Drosophila melanogaster: one gene and its partners. The protein of the gene in region 1 interacts with the protein of each later gene in a pairwise test. Each region holds a gene or a part of one and is shown in the gene's direction. Other genes may lie near its edges.

Region 1 (7,986 bases):
TGCGCCGCATGCATGTGGGACACAACGATGAAATAACCCGAAGATTCATCATTAAGGAGACTGATGTGATAATGCTAAAACTTTTTCACAATTGCTTACTATTCCTACGCCAATCGGGCCATACTAACTGGATGTTTGCTCTGATTCGTTTGTCTATGGAGTTGAATTTCCCCTACCTGACGTTCGAATGCCTACAAGCACATGCAGGAAGAGAAAAAGCATTGATTGGATTCGAGGAAGTGGTGCTGCGTTCGGGAATGCCGATGCCCGAGATCTGGACGCGTGTGGAGCAGCTCAGACAGGCATACTGCTTCCTGCCGTTGAAAGACAAGCTGGCTTCGTCGACTAATGTCTTCAAAAACAAGATGAACGCCGAACGATACTTTTGCAGCGACAAACTTGTCCCATATGTACACGCACTCAAGTCGCAGAATAATCGTCTGCACCTGGTGCTCGTGGTTGTTCAACTAATGAAATTGCCCCTGATTCGCAGCGCTAGTTTGGCGGACAAATTGAATCCTTGCATCGAGGACTTCGGCGAGTCTGAGGCCATTGAAATGCTTTTCGCTGCCATAGTAGATAGGCACTCCTATGCAGTGGCTTCGTTGCAATATCAATTTGATGCAGCCATGATCGACTTAGCCAGAGAGATGTCCGTGACGCCCAGCTACATGCCGCATCTTGTTGGCCATAAACTGTATGCGGATACCGTGAGTAATATGCTACTCAAATGCGTCGAAGTCTTTATCGGCGAGGAGTCCAAGCGACGATTGTTGCTTATTCTGTATTTGCGATTCCAAAAACTATTAATAGTGCTGCACAAGTCCATGGGCAAGCTAACGAAAAAATTCTTTAAGGATAAACGAACACGGATGCGCAAACTGATCAATTTGACGGAGAACCGAAATGTTATTAGTTTCTACACGGAACAGGCCTTGTGCGAAATTGAGGCTAAGCATTACCGACTGGGCTTTTCCATAATTTCGAGGATCATCACAAAAAAATCGGAAGAATCCAGCTGCATTAGTTGCGTGGACACAATGCATCTCTATTTAGTTTGTGCAGAATTGCATATACATAGGGGCCGCATATCTAAGGCCATCGGCATACTCGTTTCACTGTGTTTGGAAAAACATGCCGGAGTAAAGCAGACAACTGTCTACTCCAAGGAACAGGTTTTGAAAGGCCTGAGAAATGCAGAGAAAATGGTGCGAGCGGAACTGAAATCCCTCGATACCCAGCCAGCTGAGATGTCTTTGGAGGAGTACTTCCAGCCCAACAAATTGCTCATCCTCTTGCGCGCTATCTGTTTGATCGAAGTGCTGAATAATCGTCGTCATAAGGAGGCTAGAATGTGGCTCAATGACCTGCAGAATAACGAATTTGGTCCCGAGGCCGTCAAGGACAGCGAAAGAAAGCGTTTCCTTAGGGAGCAGATCATGGAAATACAGATGCTACATCTGCGTTTGTCCTTTTTAGTATTTGGCGAAGTTGAATTCTATACTGGATTCAAAAAGATCAAGCTACATGAACTGCTCGAGAATGGACTCGAAGAGTTTCCACGAAATATGGTGTTTCTACAGCTGTGGGCCAGCTTAAAATCGATTATGTGGCACAAGCAGCGTAGCCGGCTCATACGCACCAAAGCCGGCATCGCTTCACTGGCGCACTTGGTCGTTGCGATTCACAATCGCTTTGGAATCGTAGATACCAACGATAAGTTTTCAAAGGAAGCCACAAGGAAGATGGTGTGCAATCGTTTGGTCAGCATTGTCGAGACTTTTCTCCCGACCAATTTAGATCGTTTGGATGTGGAGGAAGAGCATTATCGCATACTGCGCAGGAACTCCATCTATTGGCGCTTGTACATGATTGCCCTATCCAAAACGAATGCCTCGTTTAGGCGCAGCAAAGAAGTCCTTATAATGGCCATGGACGAGTGTCCCTGGGACAAGTCACTACTGATGGAAGGCGCCAAGGTTTTGCCAGTGAAACTAGCATCGCTACAGGACCTGATGACCGAAAAAGAGATTCGCATTTTCGCTATGCCCGAGGAAGTGGACGTCTTGAGGGGCTTTTAAGTCGCTTTGGTTTTATTCGTTTGTTTTGAGGTTATTTGCCATTCGGGCGACTCGATAAGTTCGCATCATAAATATATTTATTTCTTCAAACAATCTAGTTCTGAAGTTTGCTTCAACTTTAAGTTAACTGGCGAAATTGCGATAAGCTGTTTGCAGTTATATGCGTACATGCATATTTTACTACATATATCCTAAATCGCTTATCAGAATTGGCTCACTAACAAATTCAGAATTAGCGATTTTGCTACTCAAAAATACTCGCCGTTCGATTATGTTAAAAAAAAATTCCAACACTTTATCGCTCGTTGCTGTGCAAGGAAACCAGAGTCGCATATCGAATGTCGGAGATTAGTCCAACTTCATCTTCTGGCCAATCCGCTCCCCCCGAATCCAGCATTTTCTTGTGTTTATTATTTTGATTGTGTTTATCGCAAGATAACCGAACAAAACTCATAAGCCAAAACAGCGCCGAAAGAATCACTGCGCACCTGAGGTCGCAATTGTAGCACCTGGAAGCTGTGAGACGAACTAAATACAACATATTTGTTATGTCATTTTCATATCGCTGAAATGAAACATATATTGCAAATAGCTTATTTTTATATTACTGAAATTTAAAATATATTGCAAATAGTTTATGGTTCTGTTTATTTAAATTTATTAAATCATTTAAATATGCAAAAGAAATTAAGAAGTTTTCTACATTTGTAAATTACAAATAAAAATATTTATATTCCTATTTAGCTATGAGTAGTTTTAACAGCTAACTTGTTAAATATTGATAAATTTAGATTTAATATGTACACATTAAAGGATTTGTATTAAATGACATGAATGATATTGACGATAAAATGATTGATATTTTGTATGCGATCTGTTTGTGTGACCGCAAGTGTGGTGGCCAAGTTGCGTGAGCGCGAGCGAGACGGCTGTGGCTGAGTGTTGACTCGTCTCGAATGTTGCGTATGCGCCCTGTCTGCCCAGCCACTTAAGACTCCTGTGCGTTACTGTTGCTCTTTGGAAAAGCGTGGAAATCGGGAGAGGAAACGCTGTGATTGGGCAGAGGGGTAGTGGGGATGAAAAGCTCCGCTCGCCGAAACGCATCGAAAGCTGTCTGAGCGCGAGAGTCCTGGCTGCTGTCCATTCGCACGTCCGTCTGTTCGCCTGCTCGTCCACCCATCCGACATCTTTGGACCGGGCTTCATCGATGGCAGTCGGTCGGCATCTGTCCAAGTCCCACGACGCGTTGTCGCTCCGCATCGGCCGTTGCTGCAGTGGAAGCGGCCCGTTTGGCCAAGTGGCGTCTCCGTAGTCCCTAGTCTCATGGCGGCGGAGTCTCCTCTCAAGGTTTCCCAGGCACTCCAGACCGTTTCCAGTTCCTAGGTTAGTGCTAGAGCTCGGAATATCTGGCCAGTATCAGGCCAATCCATATATAATAATATATACATACATATATATATATATATGTATATATCGCTATAACGGCCGAGTGTTTTTTGTTCCATTTCGTTTCGATAGCGAGTGTAATTTTTTTGAGAGTGCTCCCCCGTTCTAAGTCGTGTGTGTGTGTGTGTTTCTCTTCCTGTTTGGGTGTGTGTGCTGCGATGTCTCTGTGTTGGTGTAGAGCAGAAGCAAGAAGAAGCAGCATTGTGTAAGACGCCAGCGTCAAGTTCGTAGACTAAACACCAACCTTCTTTTGCGGCTCTACTCTAGCAAAGGGGAAAAGCTTTTCAGAGAGGAAACTCAGAAAATGAGAAAACGATAGAGACAGAGAGCGCAGAGAGTCAATGTGCACTGCTAGAAAATGTGGGGAAAACCAGTTTGCGAGCATGCGATTCGTGACAGTTTGCATATTTTTTAAGCATCTTTATCTCAGATTTCCAAATCTATAACTCAAATATTACTAAATTTATTACAGATAAGTGTAATCAAAATAATTGATAGCTTATTATTATTATTATATAATGCTTCCTTGGAGATTGTTATAAACAGAGGAGATTCAAGTGATTTTTTGTGCAAAACTCTAGTTTTAGCAACGTTTTCTTTTTTCCCGGTGTACTGGGTGAGCATGAACTCGCCGAGGGTTTCCCGGCCGGAAACCTTAGTCAAGGTCTCGCCAGCTTTCCAACGCAGGTTGTTGCTGCGCTCTCGCTCACACTCGCTGCTGGTGGGCGTTTGGCCAATCGCCATCTCTGTCGCACCGCTGTCGGTGACGAGCGAAGCTTTTATTGTATATTTCATCTTTCACGCTCTTTTCCCTGCCATTTCTGCTTCTTTGGGGCAGCGGCACCTAGAGCGGGAGCGGGAGCGGAGTGGAGCGTGAGTGGAGCGTTAGCTTTCCGGGCAGCTGATTCGCGCTCGGCTCGGCTCTCCGCTGCCGTTGCCGCTGCCGCCGTCGCTGCTCCGCTCGTCGTCTGGCTGATTAGTTTAGTTTGTGATTTCAATATATGTAATTAATTTTTGTTTCTGTAGCGGTACGGACGGACGCGTCGCGACGTTCGCTTGGTCCGCTTGGTGTTCGTTCGGTTCGCTTGGAGCTTGGAGTTCGAATTCGGTTCGCCAGCCGTCGCTGTTTCGTATTTATTATTATTTTTTATTTTTTTTTTATGAGTATATTCGTATTTCGCATTTGTATCTGAATGTTTCTTTGGCTCTGCGTACGTGTGTGAGCGATTGTGCGAGTTTCCTTCTCTTTCAACTTGCCTTTTTCGTGGTCGCCGCCGCTGCTAAAATGCAAAGAACACGCTCGAGCAACGTAAATGGCGCCGCGTTAACGAATGGAATTGGATTATCAAACAGTGCCCCCCAGAGCCCCATATAAAAGTTGAAAAAAAAAATAAAATAAAAAACAAAACGAGGAATTAAAACCGAAATAAAACAGGCAACAAACAAACTTCGTTTTGACAACCCCCCCGCCTTTTTTTTTGTTTGCGTGTGTGTGTTTTGTGCCAGTGCTTGTGCTATAGTGTAAAAAAAAAAGTTTGAAACAACAAACCAAAAACGCGCTCGAGGGGAAATATTATCAAAAAGGTAGATGGCGGTGACCTTAAATCATATAGTAATTATAGGGCTATCTTCCAGTTGGACAGTTTCAACAACCAAACGTTGGTGTATGAAAAACTCCAATTATCCTATTATACGACTAGTATGTATATTCATAAGCCCAATGGGGCTTAAATACCGCTGTTGGTGTGTTGTTGAACAAGCTTGAACAAGTATTTTTTTGTGCTCTACGTTGGTGCATTGGAGTGTAGATATAGTTTCAACAACCGACCAACCACCAAGCGCAAAATTAATATTGTTGAAACGTTCGAGCTTAGCAGCTGTTGGTGAACCGTTGTTGGTGTATTGTTGAGTGCGCGGCATTAGATGCTGTTGATCAGAGTACTTTTGGTACTCTTGTGATCCTGTTTCATTTCCGTTTTTGTTCACTGATTTCGATGTTTTCTTGTGCAGAGAATTGGTTTTATATGGTGTAGCCTACGAGTACGAGCATATGTGCTGAAATCAGCGGCGCGTGCGCGCATTTTTGCGCGATCGAAACCCGAGAACGATTCAGTTTTTTGTTGAGTTGGGAAAAGTTTCGATTTACGAAAAACATTCCCACTGTCTGTGTTTGTCATCCTTCGAAAATCTGCTTAGCCAACATTAACGTGTTTGCCCATCCACAAACACATACAAATGCATACAAAAAAAAAACTATCACATTCGCATCGACACAATCAATGAGGCAAGACAAATAAAATTAACATATTAATGAATTTCCAGTTTCTTTTTTCGACTTATTTAATTTTTTAATAAGAAAAGAAAAAACAGAAAAACAAAACAAGCGTGAAGAACTCGAGTCTCTCGACTTCGGCATACCCAAAAAGCACGAAAGCGGGAAGTGTGATTATGGCCAAAATTCCAGATCTGCGCTTTAATGGGTGTGCGAAGATCAACGGATTCCAATGAATATAGATGTTATATGGCGGAGCACTTTATGATGGGTTCTTAGCCTCCCTTGAACTTGTGGGCAGCATGGAAAGAGTGCGATGGAACTGAGCTTTGGATGATAATAGCAATAAAAGTAAATATAAATAGCCCAGCATCAGGTATTTGTTGGCAACAATTTTTCAATGATTTACCAGTTCCGAGTTCCGATCAATAAAAGTGTTTTTTTTCTGTTTTTTTTTTTTTTGCTATTCGGTTTGGTTTTTTCTTTCCAATTTTTGTTTTTTGTTCGGCTGCTTTGCTGCTGCTCTCAAGGTTTTCTGTGTGCTGTTGCCGATGGTGATGATGGTTATGATGATGATGATGATGATGTTGATGATTTTTGTGTGGATGTTTTTCATTTTTATTATTTTCTCTGTTACTTTTTGGCTTTTGTTTTGTTTTATGTTTGATAATTAATTTCTACGTCGCATGCTGATGTTGGCAATTCAAGTGAATTGAAAGAGGGGGGAAACTGTTAAAAATATATAAGTGTACAAATCTCAAGGCAGTTTATAAATATTTTAAAAAATCCATAGGTACATTGGGTAGCTTTTAAATTATAGCCAAAGCATAAGTTCTCTAAAAAAAAAACCATATAATTTGGATGTCTGTTTCATTTTTAAGGACAATAAAATATGCAGTCAATTTCCCTAGCATTTTTCTTTCTTTTATATTTTTTTACGAGTTCGTATATGTAAACATATTTATTTATTTTTTTTCTAACTTGTTGTTCTTGTCGCCCTCATCAAATTTTTTGCTGACGTCGCGTCTAAGAGCGATCGCTTTGGCTGAGCGGCGAGCGTTCAGCGTTCAGCGTTGAGCGGGCCAAGCGGTATAGAGAGTCAAAAGCTCGTCGCTTAAATGTGAGCAGGGGGGCCTGGTGGGGAGAGGGGCCAGGCGGTATTTTTTGTGGAGGGGCCAAGACGCTCTAAAGCTGCGGGAAAAGGAAAGCCGAACCTGTACTGAAAGCGGACCTAAGCAGCGGCAATTGATAACCTAACCTAGACAATAAAAACGACCGCCAACCGATGGCGACCCCAAGAAATGACGTCCACTACTTGAATAACTTGGCATTTTAAGTTAAATATTTAATTTTCAATTAAATGTGTCAGATTCTCTGGGCAGTCAAGCATAATTTAAGACAGGGAAAGTTAGCCGAGAGAAATGGAATGCCAAAATGAGCGAGCTAATGGTACTACTTTTTTTTCGCCACAATTTGTATTCTAAAGTACAATCGGAAAAACTACATAGAATGGGAAAATATTTCAAAAATGCTCGCGTATATTTCGAATTTCTTTTGAATAAAACACAATGTAAGCTATCATAAATTAAGGGCAATCAAATCGAGCCGCAAAGAATGTGGACTGCCAAAACACAAGTTTATCGATAAATCGAATCTTAATTGGAGGCGAATTTAGCATGCCTGATTGGATCGCATATAGCCGAGATAGCTTGACGCCATCTTAGGCAGCTATGCTAATTAAATCGATTTGACTTAGATTAGCCACGCTTGCCGCGGTTCACATGGCGTATGTGCAATAAACGCGGCTCACCATAACGCATACGCCGTGTGGCCAGGAAAATGGTATCCCTTTTGGAACGCATAACTCTCTATCCAGCTATTTCATGCATCGTACAGCGGCCTATTTCCGCTCCCCAATAGTTTACCTTCCTCAAAGTGTCTGTAGGTCAAACTAGTTTTATTTCTGCACCAGATTAGCCTTACAAATATAATCAACTTGAAAGCTCTATATTCAATTGAGACAGCTAGCTACTGTAATTTTATTTTCCCCCCCGTTTCAACTCTTTTTATTGGCTTCGTGATTTTGTAACTGTATTAACTGATATGGTTTTCGATCATCTCTGTGCGCCAATAGCTAGTTTAGTTTCTCCTATATTACCAATGTTATGGAATGTTATGCAAAGTGCA
Region 2 (7,900 bases), on another chromosome or scaffold:
GGAGATGTGGGGACGCAAGGCGACAGTTGTTAAGGTTAAGGATGAATTCTCACCATCCAGACGAAGTTCACCCGTCAGAATTAAGCAAGAAAAACGCAGCAGCTCTAGGGATTTAAGCCCAGCGAGATCGAGTAAGCCAGCAAAGCGAGAAGAGAGTCCTCAAAGGGGGCGAAGAAGGGCGGGAAGCTCAGATCAGAGTCCCACCAGACGAGGGCGAGATGGCGATCAGTCTCCGCCACGCCAAAAGCACAGGGATTCCGATCAGAGTCCACCCCGAAAGGCCAGGAATGGCAATCAATCGCCAGTCAGAAAAAGGCGGGATTCCGACCAAAGTCCGCCAAGAAAACGAACGGGAAAAGCATCACCCACTCGAAGGAGAAGGGATTCCGATCAATCGCCACCCAGACGCCGCAGAAGTAACTCCGATCAGAGTCCGCCAAGGCGACGTAGAGACAAGGATTCAACTCCGCCCAGAAGGAGGAAAGATTCCGATCAAAGCCCACCTCGAAGGCGTAAAGCAGACGATCAATCTCCGGTGCGAAGGGAAAGGAAAGACTCCGACCAAAGTCCGCCTAGGAAACGGAGAGACAATGACCAGTCTCCAGTGCGAAGGAGGCGGGATTCAGATCAAAGCCCGCCCCGAAGACGCAGAGATGACAAGCAAACGCCGCCAAGGAGGAGAAGAAACTCCGATCAAAGCCCGCCAAGAAGACCCAAGGATGTAGATCAATCGCCACCGCGAAGAAAACGAGACTTCGACCAAAGTCCAACCAGAAAACGAGACAAATCACCACGCAGACGTCACGACTCCGACCAAAGCCCGGCCAGAAATCACAGAAGTCGAGAGCGCAGTCCACCGCCTCGTAATCGCTTCAAGGAAGAAAGGAAAAGTCGCTGGGCCAAGGCATCGCCCAGCAAATCAGCATCTCCACCTCCGACACACAAGCCGAAATCCACCAAGACACTAGATGGCAAGAAAGCTGGACTGCAGGATGCGAAATCGCTGAAGAAGGAAACCGACGAAAGGCGTCGACAAGAACATGAACTATTCGAGAAAATGTCCAGCGAAATTTCCGGTCGTGATGGCGATGTGCAGGTGCGCAGTACTCGCAGAAAGGGACACCGAGCACGAGATGCCGCCAATGAGGATCCCGCCGAGCAGGGCCGCAAAGAGGAGCACGAGAAAAAGAAGAAGGAACTGTACGATCGCTGGGGCAAGGGGTTGAAGCAAATAGAAGATCACAAGTCCCGCCTGGAGGAGATGGTCCATGAGGCCTCCAAACCGGTGGCTCGCTATGCCAACGACGAGGATCTGGACAGGCATCTGCGCGAACAGGAGCACGCCGACGACCCGATGCTGGAGTACATGCGCCAGAAGCGCAAGAAACGCGACCAGCAGGACAACAAGCCGGTGATGCCCAAGTACGAGGGCAGCTTTCCGGAGAACCGATTTGGCATCCGACCAGGATATCGCTGGGATGGCGTCGATCGATCCAACGGCTACGAGCAGCGTTGGTTCGACAAACAGAACGAACGGCGGGCCGTGCAGGATGAGGCCTACAAGTACAGCGTGGAGGATATGTGAATGTTGCAAGCGTTGTTTGCTTTCGTGTTGCAATAAAGATGTAGGCACTGCCTGTAAAAAAGAAAAGAGCAATTACATTGATCGTTTTCTTTGTTTTATTGAATTATTTTGGAAAATAAAGAATGTAAATAGGTAATATAATATTTAATATTTATTTACAAAAATTTGATTTTCGAAATGCCCGCCACTTTCCCGCCAAATCGACGTGCCACCTGCAACACTGGTCGCCAGCGCAATGCAACCCTGTGTGTAGAATAGCGGAGCAAAAGCGAATGGTAAATAGTCTTCATCTACACCTGCGACCTGCTCGTCGCTCCCAAAAAATCGTTTCAAAACCACGGAATAAACCGTGTAACTGGGGAAAACCCATTGTAATTATCAAGTTTAAAGTGTGCCGCACATTTTGGCTTCAAAACCAGAATAGGTAAGTGACATCATCTGCTAAATAGAAGCATTCTAAGATTTTTGCTTTGTAAGCAATAGAGTATCGATGTGTGTGTGTGTATGTAAATGGTTCTGCTTTTGGTTGCTTTGTTGCTGCTTTCGTTACAGCGAACAAAGCGTAAGCAACTGTATATGTGTATCGAGTGGGACGCCAGTGGTGTGTGTTTGTTGCCCCGCCCCCAATAATTAGCATAAAACTCTCTTAACCACAACAAAAACACCACAGTCGTGTTGGTTTGTGCATTTGTGGATTGGGATTTCGGTGGTTTTCCTTTTTTTTTCAGCTGCTTTGCCTGCCCTTCGCCTTCAGCCGCAATTGTCGGTCAGCCGATGAAAAACCAGTTTGTTTGTTTGTTGGCTTGTAGCTGCTGCTGCTGCGGCTGATTGTTGTGATTTTGTTGTTGCTGCTGGTGCTGCTGCACTGCAATTTGCTTGGCGCAAAATTGGCGCCAAAAGCTTTTCAGCTGCAGAAACGTGTGGAAATGTTGAAATGTGTACGTACCATTCCAATCAGGCATTTGGCGCATGCACGCGCCTGTCGCTCGCTGCAGCTTCCATCTCGCTCGCTCGCGGCGGGATGCAAATACCGCAATCAGCTTTCGTTCTATCTCTTTCCCGTTGACACACATACACACTTCCGCACATCGCATTCATTCATGACACTGCTATTTACTCCCCCTCTCTCTCCCCTGCCCCTCTACGTTCTTCTTTTCGATTCCTTGTGTGCCATTTCGTGGTCTGCTTTTATTTCGCTTCATTTTGAATTAATTGCACTTCGTTAGATTATTATTTTTGCACTCTAACAAAGAGCCGTTCGTTTGGATGTTACTTTGTGTGCAAATGAAGATTTAGCCAATTTACACAATCGTAAATTTAATTTGCGTTAGTGTATGTAAATCCATAATTTTCAGTTTCTATTTCCTTTTAGCAATCAAGTGCTAATTTGATCAATTATGCGCCTTTGATAAATAAATAAATAATGCAGTAAATTTATTTGTTTGATATTCTCTTTAATGTTGTAATTGTGCACTTTTCATACATATTATACTCCTTTGTTCTTAAAAATGCATAAAGTGAAGGTGGTTTTAAATTATGCTATAGACTTTGATTTTTTTAAAAGGTATTGACTAATTGAGTTTTTTAAACTTCAAGTTTACTCATTTTAAATGCATGAAAAACAGTTCTTTATAAGTTTAACTAGTTTTTAGTTATTTGTTGTTAACGGCAGATATTACACGCAATGGACATCGCAAAGATGCTAATTCTTTATTTCCCTAAGATAAGGGTAAAAATATCAAATATCTGTTTCTGAAAGTTTGCCTATTTTGCTTTTGAGCATGAAAACTTTCTTCAACTTTTCTTGGGCACTTTGTGTTTTTGAATGTTCTTTGCATCAGACAGGCTAAGATCAGTGCTTGGCCTTCTTCGACACATGGCCCTCTTAACCCCCCCAAAAAAAGGGGGAGAACCATAAACTGATGGCGCAGACACCCCAAGGAAACCTTCGCTGGTCCAAAAGCAACCCCCAGAGCAAGCTCAACCCTTGTCCTTGGCCCTTCCTTGTGCATTTCCTTGGCTTTTTCCTCGCGAATGGGGTGCTTCCAAGGACCCAGTGACATGACATTGTAATGGCTTAGAAATTTACACGCATCCCATGCTGAGTACGTGTGTTCCAAGCACCCCTTACAATCCACAGATTGATCCTCCCCCTTGGTCTTTGCTCGGAAATTGAGGGGTTGGTTTGTGTCATGCACTGTCAAAAATATTTATTAAATTACCAATATCTGAAACTCTAAATAAATTTCCCAATAGATGTAAAATCAGCACAAGAAATTTGCTATTTTCAAACGCCTTTTTTATCATAACTTGGCTAAAAATGTACTCACATTACAACATTTGATAGTTTTGTGCAGCTTATTATCCCAACTAACGATCTATATCACTTTTTTGTTCATATTTGGAATTTCAAAATTTTATGAATTTTGGATTTTTTGCAAGGGGTAACATCATAAAATTTTGAAAAAAATTTAACAAAAAAAAAAATTTTCAAATTTAAATGCCAATTGATTTAGAATTTTATAACGAGTTTTTTGAGATATGGCATTCCATATTGTGGCTGTTTTTTATAAAATTATGACGAAAAAACGAACTATTATGTGCGGAAAATTAGGCTAAAAAATTATTGCAAAATTTCATATTTACGAATACCACAAATATTGACTATTTGATTTTGATATATTTGAAATATTATTTATTACTGTTTATGTATGTACCAAATTGTTTGCAGTGTAGAATTTTGGCACAGTGATTCGGGTTCTTTAAAGCGTTTTTTAATTCCTTCACATGCTGGAACAACATAGGGCAAAGTTATTCAAATTCCTTTTGTTCGAAATCCTGTTGAATGGCAAAGGGAATTTCAATTCGGTTGATTCGATGGAATTTCCTCGGCACCACGTGTTCCGATCCTGGGATTTCCAATGACTCATACGCTTGGGGTTGTTGCTAGGGAAGCTTCTGAGTGGAGGAACTTCAGTTGGAATTGCCTTCTCGATCCTGGAACTTCCAATCAGTTTCTTTAATGGGAAAACTAGCGTATACTAATTCCTTAATTATTACTTTACCGACTTCAAGCTGCTGGAGGAATAGGAAGAGGGAAAGTCTAGGGGACTTACACCCCGCTAGGCCAACAAATAACTAGAGGAAAACAATGGAATTTTCATAATTTTCCTGGTCCATCTGGTTTTTCCCCCCTGCTTTGTGAACCTTATCCTCTTAGAACAATGCTGTGTAAAAGCGCCCCGCTGGAAAAACTAGTTTCTCCGCTTTCTTTCGATCGGAAAACAGAAGGCGAATGCCTTGTAACCAGTTTCTGCTAATTTGTGCACACGTGCAAATCCTTGGACAAAGGATCCATTGATAGAAACTCGTTCCAGCCCCCCGCCCGAGGCGAAAAGAAAAAAAAGGAAAGTGTTGGGTTCAAAACGCCGCCGGCCACTGACACAGGAAATTAAGGTTAATTCATCAAATTTTCGAAAAAGTTTTCTTCAAGAGACGGTCCGGATGGAAAATGCACTTTTCTTGGATCATTTGTCACTCGCATAATTAGATGCTTGTTATGACATCGCTGGGTTCAAAGTGCGAAGCATCAAGTGGTGTCGAGATGAGTTAGCATTTTAGGATCACTATATAAGAAAATTGGATGATTATAAATGGGAGTTTAAGTTGAGTTCAAGTGGTGTAGAGTCAAAGGATCTCGCAGGATCAACAGGGATTCTTGACGAACCAAAGAACGAAACAATCTTCTTCTCTTCTAATAAATTGTATTAAATCTGACAAAAGTTGTAGAAAACAACAATTAGATGGAATAAAAATATATAGAGCTATAATTCTCATATTAAATTTCATACCAAGAACTGACCTTAGATGATCCTCAGTTGGAGAAATCCTTTAACAACACTTCCTCCACATAACCATTTAGAGCTCGAGAGCTTCTGTTCCAGTTTGGAACCATAAATCAAGATCCATTGTTCGTTTCACGTGGATTGTTCTACTTACCGTACTGCTTACAGAACTTTGTAAGACAGACAATGGAGGGAATCCAAAAACAGGACTCGCGAAGGAGACAACCCGCTGCCCTAGATAACCATGAAAAGCATCCCGAGACTCTTTTTATTTTCATTATTACTACTTGCCCGAATGCCAAATTTGAAATTCCAGTTTGCTTTCGAACAAAGCACACGCATATGGATCAAAGGACATTAACTTGGGTGTTTTTTTTTTTTACGGGGGGGAAGCGAAGACAGCTTGGCTCGAAAGGATCTGCTCTGGCAATGGGAACAATATAAAATGGGAGATGGGAGCAGGACAATGATATAGTAGCGATTTAACTACCCTTGGTAGTTAAACTTATGCTACTTTTATGTTTTCCCAATAAAAACAGTTCCGTTTCTATTCACTCATTCTTCAGATTTGTTTTCTTAGTTCCTTAGGTGCGCTTTCCCCTTTCCCCTTCCGCATTCATTTCAATAGAAATGTAAATAGGAAATTTTAATAATGATTGAAATGAGTTTTTCGCGTGGAAAAAGCAATCGTATCGAAACGGAACCGAATGGATCGGATCTTCGAAGAGGGTTGCTGCACCCCATTAAAAGAAACTGCATGCGGCAACCCACAGTTAAGTATGTAATTTTCTGCCATCCATATGCAGATTTGTAAGGACATAACAATCTACGAGATGTTCGCCATAAAAAGGAAAAACTTAGAGGGGGAAAAAAGAAGTGTACGAACTGCCACTGACATCGATGATTTATAAACTGTTTTTTAATCGCCAGTCGCGCTGCTTGTCGCCAATTTCCATATCCATTTGAAATTCTCCTTCTATGTGCTATATAATTGAGCGTTAAAGAGCGTGGAAAATGCAAATCGGTGGAAATGCCAGGGGGGGGGGGGTTAACGAAAGCGAGGAAAATTAAGTGGAAAGTGACTTTTTAAATAGGCCAAACTGTACTTGTGCGAAATGAAATTAGTGGTTGCGTTCAGGGGTAATAATATTTAAGTAAATGTTACTTCGTTCAGCAAACATTAATGCTCCAATATAAAGGGGAAATCACTTTAAGTATGCTACTAAAATTAAGTATGTAGCATTTGAAAAGCTGAAACTTCAATCATACTTAACTCTTTTCCAGTGAAACGCCATTTCACTTGAATTCCTATAAACTTTACTAATGGACTGTCCATCAAATCGTTTTCTTGGAAATAAAAGTTGTTTTTTCGCTGTCCAAATAGCACATAATAATTGAAAGTTTTACTGTACCTAGTTTATTTTTCTAAAATTCACTCACTCATTCATGGAAGGAAACTCCTTGCCGCCAGCGCTTTTCCACCCCGCGTCGTTTGCTGGCTAAACAAAAAGTTAAATCGTCTACGAAAAAAAAAAATAAAAAAAATAGAAAAACGGAGAGCAGAGTCCTTCGATTTGGCACAGTATTATCCTTGGCTGTTCAGGGTTACTTTTCGGTCGGCGGTCTTTCCACCCCCCAGCGCACGACGGCGGTTATCTTCGTCGCGTCTTCAGCCAGGATATTCGAGGATACAAACGCTCCGCTCTCCCGCATCTCCTTGCTTGGATGGTGCTGCTTTGGTGGAGGGTTCGCAACCTGAGACCAACTGAGCTGTAGCGCGGTGACTCCTCCCGAGTCCTGGTGGTCGGACTCTCTAGGCATTCCGCCGCCAGAGGCTGACACAGTTATCGAGTGCAATCCGGACAGGTCGGTTGTGTTCCGCGCTCCTCGTTATTCGTTGTTCGTCCTTCGCGTCGCGTCGCGTTTTCCGGTTTGTTAGGTTCCCTTTTTGCTTTTCTGTTGCCTAATCCTTAGGATCTTCGGATCGAGTTAGTGGAGCATTGCTTTAAGTCGAAGTCTTCGCCTTCAACGATTTGCGCACGCATCGTCTACTCACGTTAATCGCATTTAGAGCAGTGTTTTTATAAAAAATCCCAATCGTTTTTATACATTCAAGTAAGTGGAGATTGTAAGAAATTTTAAATAAGTTACATGGCGAAATGGTTGAAGTAACATTTCTTGTTCCCCCATCTATGCCAATAATCCTTTATTGTCACTACGCTTGGAAATGGAGTAAATCCGTGTCGGCATCTGCCGCCTTTAACCTTGTCAGTAGTGCTATCCATTAATTGCGCCAGCCAGATAGCAGCCGGCAATTTATTTATCTGTCTATATGTACAGTATATATACATTCATATATAGAGACACGATCCATGTCTCGCTGCCTTGTTGCTAAACTGCAAATACTTGCAGGCGGCAGACAGAGTGCAACCATTTTATATCTGCCCGTCTGCAGTTCTCTTTGTTTCGC
Region 3 (7,259 bases), on another chromosome or scaffold:
ACCTTTTAAAATATACTGCCTTGCTATTTCACTGTCGCTTTCGATAGGTTTTTGTTTGGAAAATCAGAACTTTTGAAAACATTGATTGTAACCAACGAATAGGACAGTGATTATCATTTATGGTCTCCTCGGTGAGGCCATGCTATTCCATCGTTACCACCTGCAAGAAAAGTTTCCATGATTGAGTGAATTCTTAAAATTCTATTTGTTCATTTACCTAGTTTTCAGCTGAATTGTTCCAGGAATATTAAACAAAATACAGGTGTTCTTCACTCACCCATCAGATATTATTTATTCGAATTTCGAACTAGAACTTGTTTAAGATTATTGTTCTTTTTGGTAGCTAATCTTAAGCATTAGAGCAACGAAAACAATCTACGTTCTTATAAAAACGGGTAAAAAAACAATATATCTCAACTACGATCCTCGAGTTACAGCAAAGATACTGGCTTACAGCAGAAACTTGTCATTGTGCATAAACACGAACTCGCTAGAGAGCCGCGTATCTATATCTATGACAATCCAGGTTCCACAGTCCCCGAAAGAATCCAAACTAGTGCACTTCATTACAACACTTCCTTAACCAAATATCACATTGCATTCTGAGCTTTATTGGAAATACATGCCTACGTCTTGCACGCGGTGTAGGTCTGGACACTTGGAGTGCAGGCGCCCTGCTGGTCGTCGAAGAAGTAGTTGCCGCAGGACCTCTCGCTCACGGTTACCCCGTCGGAGCAGCTCAGATAGTTGCGACAGCCCTTGGTGGCACTAACGACAAAACTAGCAGTCCGACCGTCGCAACGATCGTGGGAGCAATAGACCGAACTGGGGGTTATGCACATCTGGCTGCTCGCATCGAAGAATCTGTCCTGGGGACACTGGTTCCACACCGGATTGGGGTCCGGGGTGCCATCCTTCTGCTTGGCGCAGTAGAAGTAGCCGCGACAGGTGGCTTCATCCGCGACGAACTTGTTCTCGTAGGGCTTACTGGCCTTGCCGCAGACATCCGTGGGCAACGGATGGGCATCGCAGTCCACCAGAGCCTTGGACACACACTCGCCCGTGCTGGCCTGATAATAGGTTTTCGAGCATGTCTTGTCCTTCAGGACGCCCTTCTCACAGACGTGATACATATTGCAGCCCTGCAGATTGTCGAAGTTTACGCCGTTCTTAACAATGCTGCAGTACTCGAAGGTGCTGGTGGTGCAATCCGATTCGTGTTGGCGGGAGCACATCTGGGTGGTGGCATTGAAGTGCGTCTCCTGCGGACAGGTGCCGTACAAGGCCGTCTCCTCGTCCGCACAGTAATAGTAGCCGTAGCAGGACTTGGGGTCGGCCACGAATTGCTTGGCCCGATCCGCGCAGGATATCGAGCAGCTGGACGTGGAAGTGGACAGTGACTTAACGCATTTGCCCGTGTCCTTGTCGAAAAACGGAGTAGATCCCGTGCATGTACTGTAGTAGCTGACGGAATCGATGCACGTGATCGATTGACTGCAGGATTCGGGATCTCGGATCACCGTATTATTGGAGAACAAGCGGCAGATGTCCTCATTCCGGCCATTAACCACATCTAGGCCTTGAAGCAGTAGCACCAGTGCCACGCCCAGTATGGCACCAAATTCTGCAATTTGAAAAAACAATAAAGTTAGATTTACACCACTGGCAGTTTGCAATCCACTCACTTTCCATTACAGCTCAACTTTGGACAAAGCATAAACTCGTACTGAATCTGAACGTCGACCTGCGATTACTTATAAATATCAGAGGATAAGCAGCAATCACTATTTGCTGGCAAGATAAGCGGATTGGTTTTTGAGGGGTATTCAACTGGGTAAGATGGGTTAAATAAAGATGAATAGAAGTCATTTGTTAAAAGCTCGAAGATTACAATCAAATGTATTGATTTTGCTTAGGGATTTGCTATATAATATTTTTGAAAAGGTAAATGATAGAGCACAAAAAATGGGAATGTTTGATAAAATTGTATTTATAAATTTAATGTTTTTAAGGAGCATTCATAAAATTTTACTTCAGAAAAAATTAATTATATTTTTCGTTGCTAAAGTACTGGGTGATTTCTAGTCGTAGTGAATGGTGATTTTATAAACAAGTTGGAGATTGCCAATTGGCTACCGGTAAATTAAATAGGAAGTAGATAAGTTATCATTTCGGCCAAAAAATAGTAATAAAATGAAGAGCAAGATCAGCTGGTTTAATTCATAAGGCTTAGTGGGTTAATAGAGAGCTTCCCTTCTTTATTATAAAAAAAAAAACATTTTTAGTACTCTACCAATTAAATATAAAAAGTAAATAAGCACGTAGCTTGAACTATTTTTTAAGAATTTAAATTACTTCGAAAATGCCTTGTGATTTGGAAAAAGTATCGAGTAAAGTGTTTAAATGTCATTGCATACTTATGGGCGAATTTCTAAACGGACAAAACTCGCTTTTAGGCGAAACAATAAAATAAGGCGGATAGATTTAAAATAGTTTAACGGAAAATAAAACTGACTAAAAAAATGGGGTTTTTGTTATTAAACATTAACATCAATTATTTTTATAGATTATATAGATAGATAATAAAATTTCAAAATACTTGCATATAATTGTACTATTTAATTATGCATACAAATAAATAAATATATATAACTCATAATTTCATAATTTCATAGTGCGATTTATTTATTTTGTATTTCAGTTCAAACGGTTCTTTTGGACAAGTTATTAATATAAACATTTGTAGTTCGGTAATTTTTCCCCAGAACCTGATAACCTTCAGAGGAAAGTCTAGTCAAGTCAAGTCAAGAGTCGCAGTGCGATTCAAATTGAGATATCTAACTAATGTCGTGTTGCTGAAATGAGTGCCGAGATACCAGGGAAACACCACTGAGTGATCAATAAGAGCCGTGACACTTTCCCGCCTCCTCGAGCTTCTTCGAAATTAAAAAACAATTATAGACAAAGAGGGTTCGCAATCAGCAGCTGATAATCCAAATTCCGGCGCGGCTGTCAACGTATAAAAATATATATAAACTATATATACATACTAAACTAAGTATGTATGGTGTCCGCTGGCCAAGAATCGATTTGAGCTTATAAGCCAGTCCATTTTGGCCGGGTCCGCTAGTTTCACTTTCGTCGTCCAACGCCTTCGAACCGCCTTCAAGCTAACCCAACAACTTCGGAGGGATGCAAGGTGCGTGGTTTACCCCAGACCTTAGAATCTTATCTAGCATTAATTTCGATACTAACGCCCTACTGGCGGCTGGCTTATCTGGCTGACAATTTTTTAATTACCCACCCAGTTCGCGCCGCGAATTGTCAACTATAAAAACGCAAAGGCTGCAATTGATTGAGTTAGTAACGAAATCGGAACGTTCGCTTCGGTCGTCTGTCTATCAAGTGAATTTGTCCCCGAAAAATATTAGCATTCCAAGATGGGAGGTACGTTGGCTCGAAGAACGGATACAGTTATCTCAGGTGCACAGTATTCAAGACGTCTTGCTTCGACTAAATTTTGAAAAGTGGTTTCAAACATGGTTTTAAGGCCCTGAAATTCTCCTGCAAAGGAGATGACTTTCAAAAATGGCTAAAATGACTTTCAAATTTCGATTTGTTACTCAAATTGAGTTTTTCTTTCGTCCTTAATTGATTTTTTATCCAAAAAAAGGGCTGCCGTGTTGGCTACAACAAAGGCTTAACCAATTTTAGAGACGCTAACACGAATTTTGGATTGAAAGCTATCAATTTTGTCGTTTCTAGCATAATTTCTTTGCATTATTAAGTACAAACAAAATAGAAAACTATTCGACGATTACACATGTCTATATTTTATTTAATAATTCATAGTTCGTATCCCCCTGTATCCCCCATTTAGCAATCAATATGAGGATCTGTGTCGTGGCCGCATGTCTCCTAATGGCATCGCAGGCCACCGGCTACACGATGGATGATCTGTGCCAACAGTGGTCGGGCTATGGATACATCGGCAATCCGAGCAACTGCCATGCCTGGGGATACTGCAAGAACCAGGAGGTTGTGGCCTGGGGCACCTGTCCCAACGGCTTGGTGTTCAACGCGCAGGCCGGCAGCTGTGATTACGCTAATACCACGGTGTGCTCCACCAGTGCCGTTGAGACATGCTCCAACGTCAAATCTCCCATGTATGTGGCCAATCCGTTGAACTGCACCGAATACGCCTACTGCGATGGCACAGGCCAAATCTCCTATGGCGATTGCGGCACCGGCGGCGTCTATTCGGCATCCTCCACAAAATGTATATGGGGACCCGCCTGCCCGCAGGACACCATCTGTCGGTTCATGTTGTCCAACATCTTTGTAGGCGATCCGAACCAGTGCGGCAACTACATCAACTGCGTCAACGGCTATGGCACTTCCGAAAAATGTTCCAGCACCGCCAATCCCTACTATAATAAAGCCACTGGCAACTGCCAGTCGACGAATCCGTGCACCGGCGAAGATTCAAACAGTGGAAACTCTGACCAGTTCACTGTTGGGCAAACAAATGCAACTGCTTGTGACGAAGAAGCTTTTAAAGCAGCAGATCCACTTACTGTAAATGGGGAATCTGTTGACTATAGGTACGTTTCTGATGGTGTCACCTGCTATGGGTACTACTACTGTGCAGCAGTAAACGCCACTGGCTATTGGAACCAATGTCCCACCGGTACCCAATTCAATGCTGGCAAGTGCGTTTCGCCAGCCTCCTTTGTCTGTACCCATAACCGATGTGGGAACGTTAACAATCCATTCATGGCAGATGAGGGTTGCAAGAACTACACAATCTGCTCCAGCGGAATAACCGGATCATGTCCCACCAATGCGCCGTACTACGACGAGGTGAACAATATCTGCACCACCAAAATTCCCGATTACGCCATTTGTAATTCGACGGCTAGTACATGAGCATCTCCTCCAGCCACGTCTGTTTGCCGAGATACCTTTTATGAAATATATAAATAAATACCAATGCTGAAGGCATTCAAAAGAAACTAATAAAAATGTTGACTTCGACCAAGCGAAATTTGTTTTAAATGTTGTTGTTTTTGAAATTGTTGATTAGTTGTTCGCCTTTTTGGTAGCAAATCTTTCAAAAAGAGGCTCACAGAAAATGTGCCTCAAAATATAAATATAATTTCTGCGGGATGGGTATTTGTAAATGTTATCTGCCAAGCTAAGTTAATTAAATAATTAATTAAAAAAATTCAATGGCCTCCATCTATTGTATTAGAAGAAGGTGGAACAGTAAAACCCCATTGCTTGGGAAATTTCTGGAGAAGTTACTTGATTGACGTCAGCATTGAGATATTGTTTTGAATTCAGTACTTCAAAGCCTAGTATTGTAGTAGGCTGCTCCTTCTACCCTCTTCCTTTACTCTTAGTCATACATACCTAATTATACATAGCCAATCTAGTCATAAGCTTATACACTCATACACCCATCCTTAACATACAAATATTATCGAGAAACTTATCGACTAATCGACTCGCCACTCTGCAGAGAGCGCGGCAGTCAGTCGCTGTTGAACCAAGCTAAAGGACAGATCAAAAATAAAAGAGACACGTGAAATTGTATTAGAATATTAACTTCTGTAAACGGCGGCTAAAATCTCAGAAGTGGGATTAATAATCCAAAATGGACGATAAAATCATCCTGAACGACTTTTCGCTGACAACCCTAAAAGATTGGCTACGTATTCTGGGCCAAAATACGGAGGGCACAAAAACCGAATTAATCGCGAGGCTGCAAGACATCCCAACGGCAGTTCGGGGCGATTGTCCACCGGAGCACCCCCAGAAAAACGCTCCACCAGGAAACGACATTTTTTCTTCACTGGATTTTCAGAATTGTGAAATTAACACCGATCACGTAAGTGTGAATGCGATGAACAGAAAAGAATCAACCGAAACTGGCAGTGAGAGGGAGACAAACATGTTCGAGCTACAGCAACTACGCGCAGAGCTAGCAGAAGCGAAGGCAATGCTTAACGGAACACGATCGAGCTTGCAGTTCCAAGAACAACAACAACCAGAGCAAAGCAAGGCTACAGTTAGTTCCGTTATCCAGACGGCGCAGTTTACGCAGGCTGGCGCCACAAAAGAGAACACAACATTTCACTCGCCGCAGCGATCCAACGAGAGAGCGGAGAGCCAGCGTTTTCCAGTTGATGCTCTCGCTCTCGCCAAAGAGACGATAACCGATTACGATGGGAAAACTTGCGCGCGTGCCTGGATAACAGTGGTCAAAAATATCGCACGCACTTTCAACATCGATGACAACCATTTACGCATCTTACTCATCACTAAACTTAAAGGAAACGCGCAAGTCTGGTTACATGCGCACCCTGCTCGATTGATCGAACCAATTGACAATTTGCTTGATCAATTGTCATTGACTTTTGGCGAGCAATCATCCAAGGCTGAGATCCGGCGAAAATTCGAGAGTCGCAAGTGGAAAACCGAGGAGAATTTCTGCAGTTATTACGACGAGAAGATGGCTCTCTCAAACGGGATAAACATCGACGACGACGAACTACTGGACCAGATGATAGAGGGCATACCGCTACAAAATTTCCGTACCCAAGCACGGATTCAATGCTTCTCTACTCCATCGGAGATGCTACGCGCATTTTCGAACATCCGTTTGCCAGCTCGGAGGGAGCCACCTGTACAGCCAACCGACTACAAAGATGCCATACGATGCGCAAACTGTAATTCAAGAGGACACAAAGCTGACATCTGCAAGAAGCCCAAACGTGAACCAGGTTCGTGCTACGCCTGTGGACAACTTGGACACCTGGTGGCACAATGTCCCACAAGGAAGAGCGTTTCATCTAATAATTATGTAAGATGGTTTAAAATTAATTTTTTTGAAAATGCTTATAAGCCCATAATTTCAGAATGCCTCATAGACTCTGGCAGTCCTATATCTATCATTAAAAAGTCACTTATTAACGAGACAATGAAGTTAGCCCTAGTTAATACTTGCTATTTTGGTTTAAACAACTGTATTCTCAAAACACATGGACAAACCACATGTTATGTATTGAAAGGATCAATAAAAATATATTTTCGTTTAATCATTGTTTGCGACCAGTCTATGAGGTATAATGTTATTCTCGGCAGAGATTTTTTAACTGCATGCAATTTAAATTTAGACCCGTACACCTTGGGAATGATTGCGTTGAGAAAACCCATGGAAATAAACAAAATATCAATGTTTACTGAAAATGATA
Region 4 (8,519 bases), on another chromosome or scaffold:
AAAAATAAAAAAAAATTGAAAAACTAGAATCGTTTGTTTCGATTTATGACCAATTTTTTTTAAAACTAGTTTTAGTCCAAAACCATTTGTAGTTATTCTAAAGTGTGTCATTTGGGTCAAGTTTATTTAACAACTTAGAAATAGGATAACAAGTAATAGTTAAATATTAACCAACAATAAAAATTCCCACTATTATGGGAAGTCTTTTGCCCTATGTAATCGTAAACTATTCTGCGATTAGGGTTCCTCCTTAAGGTCAGGACCAGTTTGGCTAGCTGCCGCTGCCTATTACTTTTCGTATGTGTCTTGCTGCTTCTCCAGTGCCAGTTGGTTCTTCAAATCCTTGAGCTCCTTCTTGGCGACCTTCGCAATTTCCTGCCGTAGTGCCTCAACCTTTTGTTTACGGTCATTTCTCTCCCCCAGAGGCTTCGCCGGCTTTTCGTCATGGACTTTTTGGTGTCGGATGAGCGCCGCTACCTGGCGAAAGCGATTGCCACACGTCTTACACTCGAAGGGCTTTTCGCCAGTGTGTATCCACTCGTGTTGCTTCACGGATTGCGAGTTGGCAAAGCGACGGGAGCAGAAACGGCACTCAAAGTCCTTGACTTTTTCGTGGACGCTCTTGTAGTGGCGCTTCATGTTGCCTATGCTCTTGAATCCCTGACTGCAGCTGGGACACAAGTACATACCCTCCTTTTGCACAAACTGAATCTCGTCTGTGGGATTCACTGCGGTCCCTGCCAATAGGGCCACATCAACTTGCTCTACGCGGCGGGGATTCTTAGGAATGCTGGCTACGGATTCGGCGTAAACCTTCAGCAGCTGATGTGAGTCCACTTGAGTGTCACTGGCATCGCCATTTACTTGCACCTGTTTATAAGTTTCCAGAGCCCTTTCCACGCTCTTCTCATGAATCTTCAGATGATTGTTGAGACTCTCCGAATGCAGGAACTTTTTGTCACAAACCTGCAAGGCGAAAATATATCAGACTTTGGTAACAAGGGTATAATGGTAATTCCCTTACCTTGCATTCGCAGCGCTTCTCACCAGTGTGCGCCATCTCGTGTATTTTGCAGGCGTATGCTTTCCCGAACGTCTTTCCACAGTACTGGCAAGCAAAATTCCGGATTTTCTCATGTACGATCTTAACATGGCTCTCTAGCACCCGCTTCGTGTGGGTGGCATAGTCGCAGATGCGGCACTTAAACTGGTTCCGTTGGGTGTGGATCAGAATGTGCTTACTCCATTCCTGGCGGGTGGTCTTTCGCACTCCGCAGTACTGACACACGTAGTTCTTGATGCCAGCATGCCGGAGAAGATGATTCTTTAGGGCACTATTGATGTAAAAGCCCTTGCCGCAAATGGTACACGGATAGGGAAGCTCTTCGCCCGTGTGCGTGTACATGTGCTTCTTCATAGCCACCGGGCAACGAAACACCACGCCGCATTCCTTGCAAGACTGTTCACCCCGCGGAGCAATAACCCTCGCCTGGTTGTGAACCTTTTTCAAGTGAATGGTCAGCAGCCGGAGACGGGAAAAAACCAATTGACAGCCCTCCACGGTGCAGGGAACCGTATCCTCCTTCTTGGAGTGCGCATAGTCCACGTGCAAACGCAGTGCACCGGCTGTGGTGAAGCCCTTTCGGCAGCTTTCCTCCTGACACTGAAACGGCAACAGGTCATTGTGGTGCTTCATGTGCTCCTCGAACTTTGATTGCTTTTTGAACTTTTGCTGGCAGATGGAACAGCTCATAAGGCGAAACAGTTTACGCTTGTCGTTCGCAATCCGTCGCTGCCCCATGGCCTGCTCATCGTCGCTGTTGAACCCTTCCGACTCCTTTTTCTCCTCCTCCAGTCCGTTGTGCTCTGCACTGGAGAAGTGCTCCTCGCTTTGGTCCCTTGAATGCTCCTCTAGTTCCTTGTCAACTTTTTCCAGCAACTTGAACACATCCTCCTCGTTGTCAATCATCTCTAGTTTGTTATTCAGCAGCGGATCGAAACTGGCCGGCTCCTCTGGCCTTTCAGGTGCCTCAGAATCATCAGCTATAGATTCGAATACACCCATGGGCATATTCCTCTGGCTGGTCATCATTTCCTTTAGACGTTTAATAGATTCTGCGCACAGTTCGCGGAAGTCATGCAGGTCGTTCAGCTTGGTGAAACATTGGGTGCACAGGTTTCTCGGGAAACCGTCGTTTTGATCCGCATCAAACGAAGTGCACGCCCTGAGCTTCTGGAACAGATCTGGAACCACGAAGAGATCGTGTCCAGCACCATGCTTCAGGTGGACAAGGCAGGTGAGACAAAGCGATTGGACGGAGTACTTGAGCTCCATAGTGCCCATTTCCCTCAATTCTCGGGCAGATAACAATCGAAGCTTCTAAACAAATTTGTTCCAGTGTGACAGGCAGTCTGACCGTTTCGCTATGCCATTAACCCATTACGGTGTAGTGGGGTGGCAAGTAAACAGCATACTTGGATTCTTATTTTTATATTAACTTGTTTTAATGTAAGTGCTTTTTAGCAAGACCATGCATGCGTCTAGTTAAAATACATTTATTTATTATTTATTTTTGACTTTATTTCGATACAGAAATCTTGTACGTTCATTTTCGTATCAAATTTTCTTGATGCCCAGTTTGTATATTTTCAAATGTCGTTGCTTATTATTAAAAGCAATTTGTTTTACATGTTTATATATACATACTAATACAAAAAAATTTGTTTTATATTTTTTCTATATATACATACCATTATCTATATATTGTAAGTTCAGTTTCGTTTTTGTTACTATGGTGCTCAGTTTGCAAAATATTTTTAAAAAACCCTGAAATACTATTTGAAGTATACAAGCAATATCTATTTAATTAAATTAGTTGTATATATATATATTTTTTTTTTTTGTATATTGCAACCTAATTAGAATTGCAAATAAGAAGGTAAGAAAAAACATTGATTGTCCAGCCCTGAAACGCAAAACAACTACGCACTCGGACGAGTAACTCGCTGGCAGAAGTACTTGCTTATTGCCCACTCGCCCGATTGCCAGTCGACGAGTATACAATTTTTTCTGTGTCAATATTATTTTATTGCTTACTGACCGGAGAGAGACGCAAAAAGCTATAGAAAACCGCCCCGATCCGCAGTGCCGATTGCGATTGAAAGCAAGATGAACGAGGGCAGGCAGTACTCGATCCACAGCCTGTGCAGGATCTGTCTGAACCACCTGCAGAACGACGCCGCCTACGATTTGTATCTGGTTCCAGGACTTTCGAAGAAGCTATGCTTCTGCACATCCCTGTCCGTGGAGCAAAACGACGGATTCCCGAAGAACCTGTGCACCCTGTGCTACACCAAGCTGAACGAGCTGCACGACTTTCAGAAACAGTGCGTCGATTCCGTGCAAAAGTTCCAGGATCTGGTGGCCAGCAATGTCTTTGCCTGCCAGAGCAGCTTCGACGTCTTCGATCCCAACGTTGCCGTGCAGGACTACCCGGCCGAGGAAGAGGACCACGTCAACTATGACCCGCTGCTGAACCACAAGATGGAGCTAATCGAGAACGAGGAGGATGTCTTCAAGATGCTGGAGCACGTCGACAAGGAGGCCGAGGAGGTGGAGAAGGAGGCCAAGGTGGAGGAGGATGACGGGGGCAACGTTTCCGTCAAGATGTTCGACGACGATTCGTCCATCGAGAGCGGCAATGACAACGACCACGATCTGGACTTCGAGCCAAATAGCAGCGATGATGACATTCCGCTGGCCCAGCGCATGAGGGGACCAGCTACCGGATCAGGACCCCAGCAGGACCGTTTTAGCAACCTAGACAAACCCAAGCCGAGGCCCCGGGGACGGCCCAAAAAGATAAAACCGCCTCCGCCAGAGGAGGAGGAGTTGAGCGACTCATCCTCCGAATCAGATGACTCCGAAGACGGCACATCGCGGGGCGACAAGCCGAAGAGGAAGCGCATTCCCATCGAGGAACGCCACCTGCACCGCATCATCGACTGCCACATTTGCCACCAGAAGTTCAAGAAGGCCATCCGCTACGAGGAGCACATGAAGTACCACAACGACCTGCTGCCCTTCCAATGCAAGGTGGAGACCTGCAAGAAAGGTATAACGCTGGCTTAAGTATAAATATAAGTATCCGATCTCTATGAAATCCCACCTTACAGGTTTCACTACCGCCAATGGGCTGCGCATTCACATCGACCACGCCCACACAGAGCTGTCCGAGGTTCACGCCTGCATCGCCGAGGGCTGCGGCAAGACCTTCCCGCGCGTCCGTCTGCTCACCTTCCACATGAAGAAGGTGCACGGTATCACCAAGGCGGCTGCCCCGCTTCGAGATTTCCCCTGCACAGAATGCGACACCGTATTCCGCTGCCCCACAGCACTCAAGAAGCACATGTATAAGCACACGGGCGAGGAGCTTCCGTATCCTTGCAATATCTGCGGCAAGCGTTTTGTAATCAATAGTGCTTTAAGGGATCACCTTATGCGTCACGCAGGCATCAAGAACCATGTGTGTCCGTACTGCGGGGTGGGCAAGACGACGCGCCAGGAATGGAACGCCCACATCCTCACGCACACCAAGGAGAAAAAGTTCAAGTGCCGACAGTGCGACCATGCCTCGCACAACAAACAGGCGTTGTCCAATCATGTAAAGGTGGTGCACGAAAAGCGCAAGGACTTTGCCTGCCAGTACTGCGGAAAGACCTTCGGCAAGTCGCACGCCTGCAAGGTGCACGAGAGGAGTCACACGGGGGAGAAGTGCTGCGAGTGCAAGATCTGCGGCAAGATATTCCTCTGCGAGAAGAGCCTCACCAAGCATTTGAAGACGCACGAGAAAAGGGATCTGCCGCCGGCGGAGCCCCTTCGCCAGCAGCTTAACATTCCCATGCCCGGCCAAATGTCCGTACCGATGCCGGGCCAGATGCCGATGCAGATGCAGACGGATGGTTTGGTGCCAATGGACCCCAACCAGATGCCTAGTGAGGACATGCTGAAGGCATGCGGCGGCGGGACCGCTGCAGTGCCTCCCAAACCGAAGAACTCGCGACGCGTCCAGCGGGTGGACATTTCTCAGCTGGCGGGTACTGCGGTAAATCCAATACCATCCGTATCCGTGCCCTCGTGGTCGCCGCAAGTGAACTTCACCAAGAAGGAAGGCCAGCACATCTGTCCAGGCTGTGGGCGTGGCTTCAATAATATTGGAAACATGAAACTTCACTACAAAATCATCCACGAGAAGGTCAAGGACTTTGCCTGTCGCTTCTGCCCGAAGAGATTCTCCAAGGCACAGATTCTGCGGCATCACGAATGGATCCACACGGGCGAGAAGCCCTTCGAGTGCAAGATTTGTGGCAAACACTTCCGCCAGGAGACGGCACTCAAGAAACACATCAAGACGCACGAGAAGCCGAACCGGAGACACGTGCCCGAGCGCAGTGCGCCCACTCAGATCACGTTCCGCAAGCTGGAGCCAGACGCCGAGCCGCGTAACTTTGACCAGTATCAGGATCCGGCGGTGGAGCGGGCAGCGGCCACCGCTGAGCTGCTGGCGCACCAGCTGGAGGAGAACGAGGCCAAGCGGAAGGCGGAAATTGAGCGGCAGAAGATCGCGGCGGCGGCCTGCGAGCAGCTGACGAAGCTGCAGCAGCAGCAGGAGATCATCAAGGCGACCACCTCGTACGATGGCTACTATGCGCAGAAAGCGCAATCCGAGGGCACCAGCCTGGATGCCCTGAAGATCGACCACGTCTAGGCAGCAGGATTGGCTTTACTTTACTAGCATATATGCATCATAACCTAGCCACATCCATATGTATCCACTTCCAATGCAGCTGACACTGTCCGGAAAAGTTGTAGGCATGCCTCGAATTGCTCTCTAGCTGGATCAGATTGTAGGTTTATAGGCACTCCAGATTATTCGAGTGCATATTACAATATGAACACTTCATACTTTTTACGTACTACGTTTATACATACATGCAATATATGTATTATTTTGTTTTCCGTGTAATATCTCCCGTGCTTACTTAGAGTAATGGATTAAAAGTAATATTCATAACGCCATTGGAGTTTCCATCTGGTGGGCGGGACTAAGAGACCACTTTGCAATACCAGTGATTTTTACAAATATATTTTAATAACAAAAAACAAATTTTTTAGCCCGCAAGAACATTAATCAAACCTTAATTTAATTAAAATAAGTCATTTTTAGCTGAAATCCATCTGGATGGTTATGCTGAATTTTATTTCATATATTCCGTTCTTTAAATTTAGACAAATAAAGATGATAATTGATTTTTAATCGAATATTAAGAAACATTTTGCTGAACGAAATGATGTGAAAGGGGGATTTTACTGGAAAAGTTTCTATTCTGCATCCACGTCGAAATCTTCGGATGACCCTTCATTGTCTGAAGGATTATTTGACTCCTAAAACAAATTGGTTAATCTTATGTAATACATCTTTAAAACTTAGTTGATGACTTAACTGTCCAGTTATTACCATCCGTCTGATTCAAATCCATCAAACTTGAGATAATTATCTTAGCTGCCTTCCTGTTTTTGTTGGCCTTCTTCAATGCTATACTCTGCTTCTCCAGGACCTCCTCCAACTCTGCGATCTCCAGTTTAAGCCTATTTCTTCTATTCCCGGCATGTTGCAGTGCCAGTTCAGTGTCCAATACCTTAACTTCAGCTTCGAGAGCTTTTACGGAATCCTTGTCTGGTTGTTGCTCCATTTTTTTTTGTATACTCTTACTCAGCATGACAAATAATAATAAAGCTGCTATAGAAACAATTGATACAACCATATTTATAGACATACCAACGATTTAAGGTATTTTGAAAATCCTTAAAAAATTTATATTTGTTTAAAAATGTATTTAATATTTAAACTAAGACATATGTATTTTTTATTTTAAATTCTCAGACTCTTTGTATTGTATTGATCTAGTGCTAGTATTGTGCTCGTAGCTGTCCGGCAGTCTCACTCGACTGTGTGACTTGACTACGAATACACACACTCGCTGGGTCTAATACGCCCATCGTACCCTCTCCGCTGCGCACATGCATGTGAATGGGAAAAACAAAACAAAACGCCTGAGTGTGGGTGGCGAGTGCTAGAGCTGCGCAGTTTTTCAGCGAGCGTACTCGTCGCTTGCGGGTAATCGATAACCCGAATTGCTGACGAGTGCACACACACACGCACACGCGAGTACACACAAATGTGTGTTGTATTGGATTTTTTTCTCGGCGAAAGAACATTTCGAATTGCTGTGGTTTTCGCGATTTCTGGCTTTCGGGATCGTCCAGCATCGAATTGAGTGTCCAAAATGAATGAGGAGAGCCAGTACTCCATACACACGGTGTGCCGCACCTGCCTGTCCACGGTGGACGACTCGGCGGCCTACGATCTGTTCCGAGTGCCCGGTCTGGCCAAAAAGCTGTGCGTGTGCACCTCCTTGTCCGTGGAGCAGGCGGATGGCTTTCCCAAGAACCTGTGCAATGTCTGCTTCTCCAAGCTGAACGACCTGCACGACTTTCAGAAGCAGTGCGTCGATTCCGTTCAAAAGTTCCAAGATCTGGTGGCCAGCAACGCGTTCGCCTGCCAAACAAACTTCGATGTTCTGGACACCAGTGCCGCTGTGGCGGATCTGCCGGGCGAGGAAGAGGACAACGTGCACTTCGATCCGCTGCTCAACTCCAAGATCGAGATCATTGAGAACGAGGAGGACGTCTTCAAGATGCTCGAGTCCGTCGAAAAGGAGGTCGAAGAGGTGGAGATGGAGATGGAACAGCCGTTTGGCCGAGTATCTCAGGATGACTCCTTCGAGAGCGGCAACGACAACGACCTCGACGCAGACTTCCAAATCAGTAGTGACGACGACATTCCACTGGCCCAGCGCAGCCGGCGTGGAGCCACTCGTGGTTCCAAGGCGAAGGGCAAGCCGAAGTCGGCTGCCAAGCGACAGGAGGAGGAATCCGAGGAGTCCGAGGAGACCAGCTCATCAGACGACTCCGATGGCAATCCGAAGGACAAGCCCAAACGCAAGAGGATTCCTGCTACGGAGCGGGATCGCCACCGCCTGATTGACTGCCACATCTGCCACCAGAAGTTCAAGAAGGCGATTCGCTACGAGGAGCACATGAAGCATCACAACGACTTGCTACCCTTCCAGTGCACCGTCGAGAGTTGCCGAAAAGGTAAACTCCGCCCGCAGATCCTCGAGAAGTAGATTTATGTGATTATTTTTCCAATTTCAGGCTTTACCACCGCCAATGGACTGCGCGTCCATGTGGAGCACGCCCACACGGAGACATCGGCTATGCATCCGTGCACCTACGAGGGCTGCAACAAGTCCTTTGCCCGGCCCGTGCTGCTCAGCTTCCACATGAAACGCGTGCACAAGGTGGACACCCCGCAGAGGGACTTCCCCTGCACGGAGTGCGAGAAGGTCTTCCGCTGCCCCACTGCCCTCAAGAAGCACATGTACAAGCACACGGG

The links.
Region 2: the proteins of gce (region 1) and REPTOR interact in a two-hybrid assay, tested with the Drosophila melanogaster proteins (one large-scale study listed by BioGRID).
Region 3: the proteins of gce (region 1) and CG6933 interact in a two-hybrid assay, tested with the Drosophila melanogaster proteins (one large-scale study listed by BioGRID).
Region 4: the proteins of gce (region 1) and D19A interact in a two-hybrid assay, tested with the Drosophila melanogaster proteins (one large-scale study listed by BioGRID).

What each region holds. Positions count from the first base shown.
Region 1 is NC_004354.4:15,294,473-15,302,458, forward strand, and holds the start of gce (germ cell-expressed bHLH-PAS), read left to right. Parts: upstream 1-3,293; 5' UTR 3,294-3,464; intron 3,465-3,564; exon of another isoform or gene 3,565-3,745; intron 3,746-4,536; exon of another isoform or gene 4,537-5,111; intron 5,112-6,036; exon of another isoform or gene 6,037-6,150; intron 6,151-7,986. Other genes in the region: CG5877 (uncharacterized protein), read left to right, coding at 1-2,081.
Region 2 is NT_033777.3:24,576,822-24,584,721, reverse strand, and holds the start of REPTOR (repressed by TOR), read left to right. Parts: upstream 1-1,857; 5' UTR 1,858-2,009; intron 2,010-7,268; exon of another isoform or gene 7,269-7,545; intron 7,546-7,900. Other genes in the region: CG13625 (uncharacterized protein), read left to right, coding at 1-1,585.
Region 3 is NT_037436.4:20,216,285-20,223,543, reverse strand, and holds CG6933 (uncharacterized protein), read left to right. Parts: upstream 1-3,123; 5' UTR 3,124-3,192; coding exon of another isoform or gene 3,193-3,199; intron 3,200-3,308; 5' UTR 3,309-3,440; coding exon 3,441-3,483; intron 3,484-3,880; coding exon 3,881-4,929; 3' UTR 4,930-5,042; downstream 5,043-7,259. Other genes in the region: CG17145 (uncharacterized protein), read right to left, coding at 627-1,624, 1,686-1,692.
Region 4 is NT_037436.4:6,183,630-6,192,148, reverse strand, and holds D19A (D19A), read left to right. Parts: upstream 1-3,025; 5' UTR 3,026-3,169; coding exon 3,170-4,115; intron 4,116-4,176; coding exon 4,177-5,768; 3' UTR 5,769-6,319; downstream 6,320-8,519. Other genes in the region: CG7386 (uncharacterized protein), read right to left, coding at 289-966, 1,025-2,335; CG43293 (uncharacterized protein), read right to left, coding at 6,383-6,445, 6,505-6,753; D19B, read left to right, coding at 7,348-8,218, 8,279-8,519.